3 linked regions of the Xenopus tropicalis genome follow. The protein of the gene in region 2 interacts with the protein of the main gene of each other region in a pairwise test. Links are inferred from orthologs where the notes say so. Each region holds a gene or a part of one and is shown on either strand. Other genes may lie near its edges.

Region 1 (3,755 bases), on a different chromosome or scaffold from region 2:
CAGGTGGGATGCCATTGCGGGGAGATTAGTCTCACTTAACAACGGAGATTTGTCACAGTGCGACCCTTGTGCCACTTCCCTAAGGTTTCTGGTGGGCCATGGCATGCCAGTCCAACACTGTATATGGCTAGGCCACTGCATCATGAAATGCTGGGTCCACTGATACATTGTTGGGGCCACTGTACTTTGTACACAAAGGAGTCACAAACCTCTGTGACCTTTCTTTCTGGGAACATTTGTAAAGTAAATTAAGTCTGGTTTCAAACATGGTTGTCATCTCTGCTGAAACTGGCATGGGAATTAAAAGAGGGCATTGAACTGCAAAAATGTTTGCTACACCGTCAAAATGTGTAACTCTCCACACAGTGCATAACATTTTATAGATTGTAAGCTCTACGGGGCAGGGATCTCCATCCTCTTGTGTCTTTGACTCTTAACTTATTGCAACTGTAACTGTATCTTGTATTTATTTGTATTTATTGTTATACTTTGTATTTATCTATTATCTTATTAACCCCGTTTGTATTAATGTATTCTACTGTACAGCACTGCGTACATAAGTAGCGCTTTATAAATAAAAATATACATACATACATACATACATACATACATGTCGATTGGCTTCCTTAGGGCAGGAGCATAAGTACTGAGGAAACAGACCCTACCACTGCTGAGGTCCCCAGGAGCCAGGGGCATGGGTTACCATACTTCTTGTAAATTCATCAACACATTTAGAAAATCCAGCAAGAAAGCCTGCCCTGATTTCAGTTGAATTGAAATGCAATAAGTGCAGCCCCACATTAACTGATAACACAGATTTAATACATCTTTTACAACTTAACAAATACAAATACAACTTAACAATTCATGTTAAGTTCCCAGAGTGTATTTTTTCTGCGGGACCTAGTCATTTATAGTTACGCTACTGAGAATGTGGCGTGTCTTAAAAATGTGTGAGGAGCGCTTGCGAATCGCTCAGTATCCCAAAGCCAACTTGACCGCTGAAGAGCCTGAAATCTGAGGGATCTGCACGATCTGTAGCGAATACATGTGTGGAGTCTTCCACCAGCAGAGGGAGACACCTGTTTTTTATAGCACCACCCTAATTGGCTGACGGAGCACAGGCTCAGGATGTTGATAAGCCTGTAGTATAAGGTAACCAGTAGTTCATACAGAGTGGAGGAGCGGCAAAGGAAGGGTTGGGATTGAGTAGTTTCCCCCTCTGCTGGATTAAGCGAGTACCCAAGAGCCGCGCCGCTACATTAAGGACAAGTGAAACCAAAGAGCTGGAAAGGGAAGCTGTATAAAACCGACACAATAGGCTTCGCTTTCCGGATTGGTAGCGCTGTCGGGAGTCCTCGGATGACCATGGATTGATAAGGGAACCGGGGTTGCTGTGCTCTGTTGCTGCGGGCTCCCCGCTTCACTGGCCGTGGAATGGTGCTAACAGCGCCCCGCAGTAGCGCATCCCCAGCCAACAGCATGGAGACATCGTCGCCTGTCACAACAGTGTAAGAGAAGCATGTGTGCTAGCAGCAGTATTGCTCTCCTGCAGCCTTGCCTGCCTCACTACTGCGGCTCCCCCAGTCTGCCCAGATACTGCGCAGAACTAGGCGCATTTACCGCACCAGCTGCGCCTTCTGCGCATATATGGGGGAATGGATATGGGGCTGCCAGCGAGGGTGGCACTGCACTTTGGCATTTCTTTACTGTGGCACCTATGGGGGCTTGATAGGGTCACAGGTTTCTTGGTACAGGGATGCTTAGCTATCTACAACTTCATATGTACTAAAGTCACTTGCTAAAGATCACCTGTTTGCCCCAGTACAGGTTGTATATACCTAAGCAGGGCTTTTCTGTCCTGGCTGGGCCTGCATACATTATAAAGCCTGAGAGCAGCTATTGACCTTGCAAGAACCCCAGTGACAGCTGTAAATGATTCTGGTTTTCCTATGGGATGTAGGCCACACTACAGTTTATTAAAGGAACAGTAATACCAAAAAATAAAAATGTTTTTAAGTAATAATAATACAATGCACTGTTGCCCTGCACTGGTAAAATTTGCTTCAGAAACACTTCTATAGTTTATATAAATAAGCTGCTGTGTAGCCATGGGGGCAGCCATTCAAGCTGGAAAAAGGAGAAAAGGCACAGGTTACATATCAGATAACAGATAAAACACCATTGTATTGTACAGAACTTATCTGTTATCTGCTATGTAACCTGTGCCTTTTCTCTTTTAAATGGCTGCCCCCATGGCTACACAGCAGCTTTGTTTATATAAACTATAGTAATGTTTCTAAAGCAAATGCACCAGTGCAGGGCAACAGTACATTATACTGTAGTTCCTTTTATACACTTTGATTTTTTGGTGTTACTGTTCCTTTAAGCATAAGTGATCTCACTGATCCTATAAGGGCACAGGCAAAGAACATGTTAAAGGAACAGTAACACCAAAAAATGAAAGAGCTTTAAAGAAATTAAAATATAATGCACTGTTGCCCTGCACTGGTAAAACTGGTGTGTTTGCTACAGTAACACTACTATAATTTATATAATAAGCTGCTGTGTAGCCATGGGGGCAGCCATTCAAGCTGGAAAAAAGGAGAAAAGGCACAGGTTACAAAGCAGATAACAGATAAGTTCTGTAGAATACAATAGTGTTTTATCTGTTATCTGCTATGTGCCTGTGCCTTTTCTCCTTTGAATGGCTGCCTCCATGGCTACATAGCAGCTTATTTATATAAATTATAGTAGACTTTCTGAAGTAAACACACAACTTTTACCAGTGCAGGGCAGCAGCACATTATATTTTAGTTACTTTTATACACTTTCATTTTTTGGTGTTACTGTTCCTTTAATAGAAGCCTTATTTGTTTATCAATAGAGGATACAGTGCAATTTGCCATGTGGGTGATACCCAAGAGCCACGATTTGGTTACCCTTTAGTATTTGGTACCATCTCATATGTTAGATCACCCATAAATCAGGTTAAAGAGTGGAGCTTGAGGGATAAATAGTTTATTTTCTCTGGGTGCAAGGTACTAAAGTATGAGTTACCGATTGTGGTAGATGCTGAATGGATAACTACATTTTAAATTTTTTAAAGTTGTTGCGGTGATCTGAAAGCTGTTTCTTATTGAATATTAGACTGCAAATGGTATGATGTATTAGCATGAAAACACTTAATTTCCTTAATTAATATGTCCGATTGGGCAACCCTAGGGTAAAGACACTACTACTACTACTAGTAGGAGCTACTTTTTCAATGCTACTAAACTCCAGAATATACTCTGCCATAGACAATACTGAGAATTGCCAATGCTAAAACACATGTAGAGGCAATTATCAGTATATGATCAGCACTATCTATTTTAGTAGCTGCTACTAGTAGTTCCTTGTGTCTTCACCCTTAGGATGAAGACACACAGAGCTACTTAGTAGCAGCTACTTGTCATGGCTGCTAAGGGGAGTGGCTCACATTATCGCTGGCAACTAATCTCCCTGCAATGCCACCCCACCGGTAAGAATGGAAATTGCCGGTGGGATGGCATACGCGTCGCTACGATTTCCCGAAGTTGCCTCAAAAGTCGTGCAACTTTGAGAAATCATAGTGGCACGTATGCCATCTCACCGGCGATTTCCATTCTTGCCGGTGGGATGGCATTGCAGGGAGATTGGTGGGATGGCATTGCGGGGAGATTAGTCGCCCGCAAAAATGTGTGCCACTAAAGATTTGTTGCGGGGCAACTAAC
Region 2 (3,755 bases):
ATGTGTATGACCACCTTTACTGGCTCCATGCACCTTTCCCCTGCCCAGTCTGCCCATTTCCCTGACCCTTGCAACACCCTCAAATGTCACTTCCCGCCCACCAACCCAAATGCTAGTACTAGCCACAGAAAAAGGTAGCAACCCTTATCCATGATAGCTTTGCCACCTTTGAAGAGTTATTTTAATGGCAGGAGCGGAGCTATGAGAGAGCAGGGTGGGCACAAAGGAGTGGGATGTGACATAAAGGGAAAGGGTTATGGCGCAAGAGGGTAGTCAGGCTGAACTGGAAGGCCATTTTGTAAGTAGAGCTAGTCTCTTTGGAAGCTGCAAGGGCTGATGGGAGGCAGGCCTGGGGTGGATGGAATAGTTATCATAAATTTACAGACAAGTATGTTGCCAGTAAATTTGTTATGGGCCCCAGGCTTGTATATAGGGGCTAGGTATAGGAGCTGGGACAGAGAGAAGCTGCACTGCATGTTGGTTAGTGTGGGAGGCACATCAGCCCTGTGTCAGTCCTGTTATTATTAGAATGCGTGTGAGGGGTAGGGCTCCCACTTTTTCTGGGAAAACACCAGCTTTTCTATATTTTTTTGTTTTCCCTATTAATTATATATTTTTTACTAGCCAGCCTGCAACCCTAGTGATGGACATTCATTCCCCCTTTACTATAAACATTTACAAAGAGCCAACACACTCTGCAGTGCTGTATAGCAGAATGGTATAAAACATACAAATTACATATCAATAAAAACCCAGAAGAAAAAGGGGCCGGGCCCGGCACAATAAATTTCCCTTTACAATCTTGGGGGGGCGGGGTCGCACTTTTTCCCGGCTAGGTAGGGGATAGCTCCTAACAAATGACTGTGTTCTCTGTGTTTAACTCATGAAAACAAGAATGGAGGAAATGGGAATATTAAAATAGCAACACCCCACCCCGGAGTCTTCAACTTCCCGTTACCCTTGGCAACAGTCACGGGGCCGACTTTTCGGAAAATGACGTCACCCGCCTTGAACCCCGCCCACCCCTCCTTCCTGCTCCCGCCTTAGCCCCGCCCACCCCTCCTCCCTGTGCTCTCCCCTGCTCTGCCCGAGTGTGCGACTGCCTTTGTCTTCCGTCAGCGCCATCTCCGTGCCGTGACGTCAGTGCTGTGAAGAGACGGGTCGGGAGAAGGCAGCTGTGGGGAGGACTAGTTAGCAACTAACGGGAAGGGCTTCCACTTCGAGTTATTCTCCTGCCGGCAGGTAAGTGTCCCCCTTACAGCTTCTCTTCACAGAAACATTATTTTGGGCTGTCCCACCAGCAGCAAGGCAGAGGGTGGTTATTATCCTCCCTTAGGTCCATACAACTCAGTTTTGTTCTCCCCCCCCCCCCCATCGCTGTTGTGCTTCCCAGGCAGGTGTGCCCATTCAGTGTCCCCCAGGTGTGACTGGAGCCGGAGCCCCCCGGCAGCTCATTGGGCGGTAGTACGGGCCGTGGGTGGAACTATTAAGGAAGGGGGGGGGGGGGGGGGGGGTGCGACTCCTGAGGCCGGGTGGGCCGCTCATAAACACTTTCACTGAATGTTTGTGAAGGGCTTATTCTTATTTAATTTTAGGGGGTCCCCAATATCAATTTTCCTGTGGGCCCAATGATGTCTGGTTATGCCAGTGATTACGCCCCATTAGGGGACCAGCTCCAGTTGGGGCATAAAGGGCGTATTTATTGGGGCCCCATGTTCATTTGAGGGTCTTAAAAGCTGCCATAAAGGGGGAATAGAAGATATAGACATTTTTTGAGAAACACAGGAGGGTAGTTGGTTGATATGACTAAGTAATACAAATCCACCTTTTCTGTCTCACTCACTTTGGCCTCTTTATTCACTAACTTTGCCATTCTATTTCTTACATACGCTTGCCCAGCGCTCTCCTGTGTGGCTATTTCTAATGGTGGGACCATCCATAGAGCAATAGGTGCCATGGCATTGGCCAGAGGTCAAGTGAGGTGATTTGGATTCCTTTAAAATCTTGTTTCCGCTGAGCCATTTGCCTATTTTGAGTCCCCAATACCCAGAAGGGATTTGGGAGGACTAAGCCATGTCATGTGACCGAACGGCATTCTTAAACACCAGATTATCTGGTATAGACATTAATGTAGGGTTAAAAAAATGTGTTTTAGGCCTTTGGTTTCACTAACATCGTCTTTAAATAAGGTGAGAGACAGGAGGAAGTGTGAGAGACCTTGGGCACAGTTGTGTAGATGAGTTTAGGGAAGGTGCTACAGACACCTCTAATGGAGGAAGATCACAAGTTAAAGTGACTTTTTTCTGTGACATTTTTACCGTTGACCGTGTAAGGTGGCAGCCTAAAGAATTACATGAATGTGGCCATGCCAAAAGTACTATTTCTATTAATAAGCACCTACATCAGTGGAATTTACAAACTGGTAATTTGCAGGCTGGGTTTCCTGCCTGCTGAACGTCGTTGGTTAGCACACTTTATTTAATGTGAGTCAGGATCAGTATTGTGGGTGCATGCTTCTGGTCACGTGATCATTTGGTTGGGGGTGTGTGTAGGGGAAACATTATGTGGCACTATATATCTGTGAATGCAGGTTTGTGTATGTATATGTCCATCTGAAGGCCACATTCTGCATCTGTAGCTTTTTTCAGTGGTTTGGTTCGGATTCTAAGGGCTCTGGCACACAGGGAGATTAGTCGCCCGCAACAAATCTCCTGTGTCTCGGGCGACTAATCTCCCCGAAATGCCATCCCACCGGCGAAAATGTAAATCGACATTTATATTTACTTGTGTCTCTCATAATCAGCACATATAATCAACTGGTCAGTGCTAATTACAGGTGACGCATATAATTAAATCTAGCCATTAACAACTCTAAATTTACTTACTCTGTTTTTATTATTATTATTTTATGAGCCACCAGAACTTGAATCTATCTCTGTTGTAGACACAGGACATTTACCATACAGCAGCTGTGTTGGACACAGCTTAGTTTAGCTGTCCCAGGCGTCATCTTATAGGGACACGCTAGTCATTTAGTCACATTATGGTCGTGGCCATACTTTTCCAAGAAAATGTTGCACAGCACTGATCTAGGAGAAGATTTAGGCATTTTCCCTAAATCCCACCTTGGCCTTCAGGTTCACCCCCCAGTCACTGCTCTTTATCTACGGGGACAGTCTTAAAGGAGAAGTAAAAACTAAGTAAGCTTTATCAGAAAGGTCTATGTAAATACAGCCATAAGTACTCACAGAAACACTGCACTGACTTCTCTGAAAAAAGATTAGTTGTGTCTGTAATTCCTGTGCCAGAGACACGCAGCTTTCAGCTCTCTGCTCTCTCCTTCTCCCCCCTCCCTCAAGAATGTTAAGAACTCACAACCCCCCTTAGGAATGTGGATCTGAGCCAATCAGCAGGAAGCTGACTCATAGTCTTACTAACTGAGCATGTTCAGTGGTCTCGGTGTCTGTGCAGGAGTGAGGCATTATGGGAACTTTCTTTACACAGCTTAGGGTTTTTTCTTCCTGTTTGGCTTCTGATCATCTGAACAGGAGAAATGTGGGGAGACTTAAGGGCATTATTGAGACAACTGAAGGTATGCCTGCAGCTTGAGATTAACTCTTTACTAGCCTTTCCTTCTCCTTTAAATTTTGAAAACTGCTGATAAAGATTTGCAGACCGCTTTGTAAACCTAAGTAGTGCTGGGCGGTATACCGGTTTAACCGGTATACCGGTTTTTGAAAAAAAAACGATATGAT
Region 3 (3,570 bases), about 74 Mb from region 2:
TCCAGCGTCACATCGCAATGCACTAACAAGTACAGTAATAATTTAATAAGTACTTTACGACAGGGGATTAGATAGATTTCAGAATAATGTTCTTATTATTGAGGGGGTGGGATGAGAAACTGAAAATATATCCCTCGAGCCTCCCAAAGATGTGAAGCTTTGTGTTTATAGGGGAGGAGGTGAGGAAAGACTGGTTGAAGAAGCGTCTGGCATTTTTGTCAGGCACCAGTGTTTACACATGTCAGTAGTGAGTTTGGGGTGAAAAGTTCAGCTGAGCTTGACCCAAGGTGTTTCTACAGTTGTTAGACAGGAGATAGTGGAGAACCCATAAAAATGGCGCAAAACGAATAAAAACGAAACGTTGGCGCAAAGAGTTAAATTCGCTCTGCCGGGAGACGCAATTTTTGCGTTTGTTGTGATTATGAATTACAACTTTTTTGCCCTGGGACCCTCATCTACAAGACCTCCTGGTTTTGATGGAAATTCTTTAACCTTTTACATGCTGCCCAATAAAATGCACACTAGTTTAGTCAGAGGTAGCATACAAATGTTTTATTGACAAATTCCAACTGATAAAACTCAGTTTACATTCGGTGTCATGCAAGGGTTCGCGATGGAATCACAAATTATACACACATTTGGTCTTACAAGACATTCACTTAAAGGCGATTTAGAAGCGTTTCTCTTGGATCAGAGAACGAGTGGTTTTGTTTGGATAAATACCCTGGATACTGGACGATCTAGCACGATTTCCTGACAAACAAAACACACAATATTCACCTAAAATCATGACTGTAAACACCTAGTAAATGTGAGAGATTACTGAGGTATGCGGTCAGCAAACACTGCTGTCTTTTCCTGTGCTAGAAAACTTTGAGATTCTTCCAACCACTCCACCATCTGATAATTATTAGAATTTCTACAAAAACACTTGAAAGATAAATCTCTGGAACAATATATGTACACTCTTTTCACATACAGACACCATAGAACTTTAAATTAAATAGAAGTCTTTTAACTTGTGTAAACTTTTTCTCTATTAGTAGTGCATCAGTCCTTGAGGATCTGCAACCAGTGATTTCCCAGTAAAAAGTCCCAGCAGGAATGTCCCTCATATGGATTGTCCATAGCAGCTCATAGCAAGAGACAGTTAGTGTGACACATGCCAAAACAGGTTTTAGTTAACTTGGGTATTTTAGCTCAAAACGAAAATGACTTTTCAAACTTGTGCAAAAATATAATCTTAATGGTACCAGCTGAAATTCTGGCATAAACAATAGACAACTAAAATCACTGCTAAGGCTTTGGTTGATCAATCGAGCACAGGCAATGCCTTCAGCCTTCTAACCGGAAGTACTGAGATGATCTGAAGTAGAGGAGGCAGGAGATGGAGCACAGGGTGAAGAATTGGACTTTTCTGACAGCTCCTCTGACTTTTCATCGCTTCCTGTACTGGCTGATGGGGAGATGGGGAGAAGTCCTTCTTTTTCCCTTTTTTTCTGTTTCATCCTCCTGTTCTGGAACCAGATTTTTACTTGGGTCTCATTGAGCTGTAGAGCAGCAGCAATTTCTACCCTGCGGGCCCTGGTCAAGTACTTGTTGAAATGAAATTCTTTCTCTAGTTCTGTCAGCTGTTTGGTGGTGAAGTTGGTCCTGGCTGTGTTGGGCTGGCCGGCAAAGCCATATTCCCCAGCTTTACCTGAAATAAAAAAAGTCAGGGTTATAATCCATATGGAATGTGAGAAATGTAGCAGCCAACAACCCCAGTGTTATGGGGGTGCCTTTTCTACCGTTACTGACTGTATTATACAGTCACAAACTGTTACATTCCATTTGTACCCCCACCCACTAACTTATAGGGCAACATCAACATAAAGAATAATAGATCATGATCATGATGATAGATAGATAGATAGATAGATAGATAGATAGATAGATAGATAGATAGATGATAGATAAAGATTTACTTGATAAAACAAGGGCGCCTTAATAGAGTAAGTGGGTGTAGAAAGGGTAGACATTACCTGTTTTGGGTGGGTTTCTCTTTACTTTCATCCAGTCAAAGGTCTGTGCAGGGCCCGGGGATGTTTCGCTGGAAGGAGACCGGCAAACTTCTCTCTGGCTGATATGTAGGCTGGATACATTGTTATTGTAATTGGCCACAGAAATGTTCTGGTCAGGTCCGTAGGAATGGTGGATATAGTGAGCGGATCCTTCGATGTAAGACTGGTGTTGGTGATGCTGGACCACAGACGAAGCGATGTTGCCGGAGTAGACAGATTGGGGGAACCCTGCGCTCACATCTGCCTCTTGATTGATGGGGAAATGAGAGTAGCCGGGGCTGAAGTTCTGCATGCCATAGTTGGAGCCACAGCTGGTATGAGTATAAGACATCCCCAGGTTGTTGTGGTGCTGAAAGGCACCGGCTTGGTGGTGGTGGTGATGGGGGTGAGAACTTATCTGCACCCCTCGTCCGACCACAAAACGATCATCGCTGTTGCAGTTATTAGCACTGACTGCGCACGACTGGAAAGTTGTAATTCCATGGTCGGGGTGGAAGGATCTGGAGGAGCAGGTCCCGAGGTCGCCGCTCATTAAGCCCGGGTACTCTAGGAAGGAGCTCATCCTCGCATAGTCCATCTATCACTAGGTGACTGTGACACAGAGCCTGGCGTGGCCGTGCCAACTTTCTCACTTCCTCCATAGGTCCAGCACAAAATCATATGAATGTACAGTGAGGGCAGGTCACGTGGAGAGGCCAGCCAATGGCAGCAGCGACAGATAAAGTTTGCCTACACTAACTGGTGATGGATCGGCCCTACACTTGCATTTAAATTCCAGGCGCTGCTCTATCCAGGTGACGCACACGGCTGGGAGTACAGTGCACTGAGAGAGCAGCGGCCAAGTCGCACAGTCCTCTCTACCCGGGAACCGCCACAGTGCAGATGTCAGAGCCGGGGGCACCCGAAGAACCCCCTAACCCGGTAAGGAGCAAATAGTGATTGGTCAGGGGGATTTGGGGATACAACTGTGTGTCAGTGGGTGTCTAAAAATACACAGGTATGGGTATTAGTGAGAGACACTGTAGTGTGTAGTGGGTGTGAGTCTAAGCATTTCTGTTTTAGATAGATGATAGATGATAGATAGATAGATAGATAGATAGATAGATAGATGATATATAGATAGATAGATAGATAGATAGATAGATAGATAGATAGATAGATAGATAGATGATAGATAGATAGATATAGATAGATAGATAGATAGATAGATAGATAGATAGATAGATAGACAGTGTATGTAAGACAATATAGGACAATTGCAGTGTACACGGAATAGGAACAAATATGCAGATACCTGTAGTTCAGCTTTGTGTGTGTCCATGCATTCCTGTTTTGGATAAGTGTATCTTGTAGATAGAGAGGCAGACAGGCAGACACTAGATAGAGATAGATAATTACAGATAGGTAGATAGATGATGATAGATAGATAGATAGTACACAATATCGGACAATTGCACTGTACACAAAAATGAACAAACATGCACATAGGTAGGGTTCAGCTTTGTGT

Evidence for each region. The genes of interacting proteins can lie anywhere in the genome.
Region 1: the proteins of sdcbp (region 2) and klhl2 interact in binary tests that used the Homo sapiens proteins (3 or more experiments, as listed by UniProt). The link is inferred for Xenopus tropicalis from reciprocal best matches to the Homo sapiens genes SDCBP and KLHL2.
Region 3: the proteins of sdcbp (region 2) and hoxa1 interact in binary tests that used the Homo sapiens proteins (3 or more experiments, as listed by UniProt). The two-hybrid records come from large-scale screens. The link is inferred for Xenopus tropicalis from reciprocal best matches to the Homo sapiens genes SDCBP and HOXA1.

What each region holds. Positions count from the first base shown.
Region 1 is NC_030677.2:51,361,950-51,365,704, reverse strand, and holds the start of klhl2 (kelch-like protein 2), read left to right. Parts: upstream 1-1,134; 5' UTR 1,135-1,437; coding exon 1,438-1,511; intron 1,512-3,755. UniProt on the Homo sapiens protein: Substrate-specific adapter of a BCR (BTB-CUL3-RBX1) E3 ubiquitin ligase complex that mediates the ubiquitination of target proteins, such as NPTXR, WNK1, WNK3 and WNK4, leading most often to their proteasomal degradation.
Region 2 is NC_030682.2:116,370,649-116,374,403, forward strand, and holds the start of sdcbp (syntenin-1), read left to right. Parts: upstream 1-1,139; 5' UTR 1,140-1,242; intron 1,243-3,755. UniProt on the Homo sapiens protein: Multifunctional adapter protein involved in diverse array of functions including trafficking of transmembrane proteins, neuro and immunomodulation, exosome biogenesis, and tumorigenesis.
Region 3 is NC_030682.2:42,135,358-42,138,927, forward strand, and holds hoxa1 (homeobox protein Hox-A1), read right to left. Parts: upstream 2,683-3,570; 5' UTR 2,641-2,682; coding exon 2,025-2,640; intron 1,700-2,024; coding exon 1,344-1,699; 3' UTR 538-1,343; downstream 1-537. UniProt on the Homo sapiens protein: Sequence-specific transcription factor. Regulates multiple developmental processes including brainstem, inner and outer ear, abducens nerve and cardiovascular development and morphogenesis as well as cognition and behavior.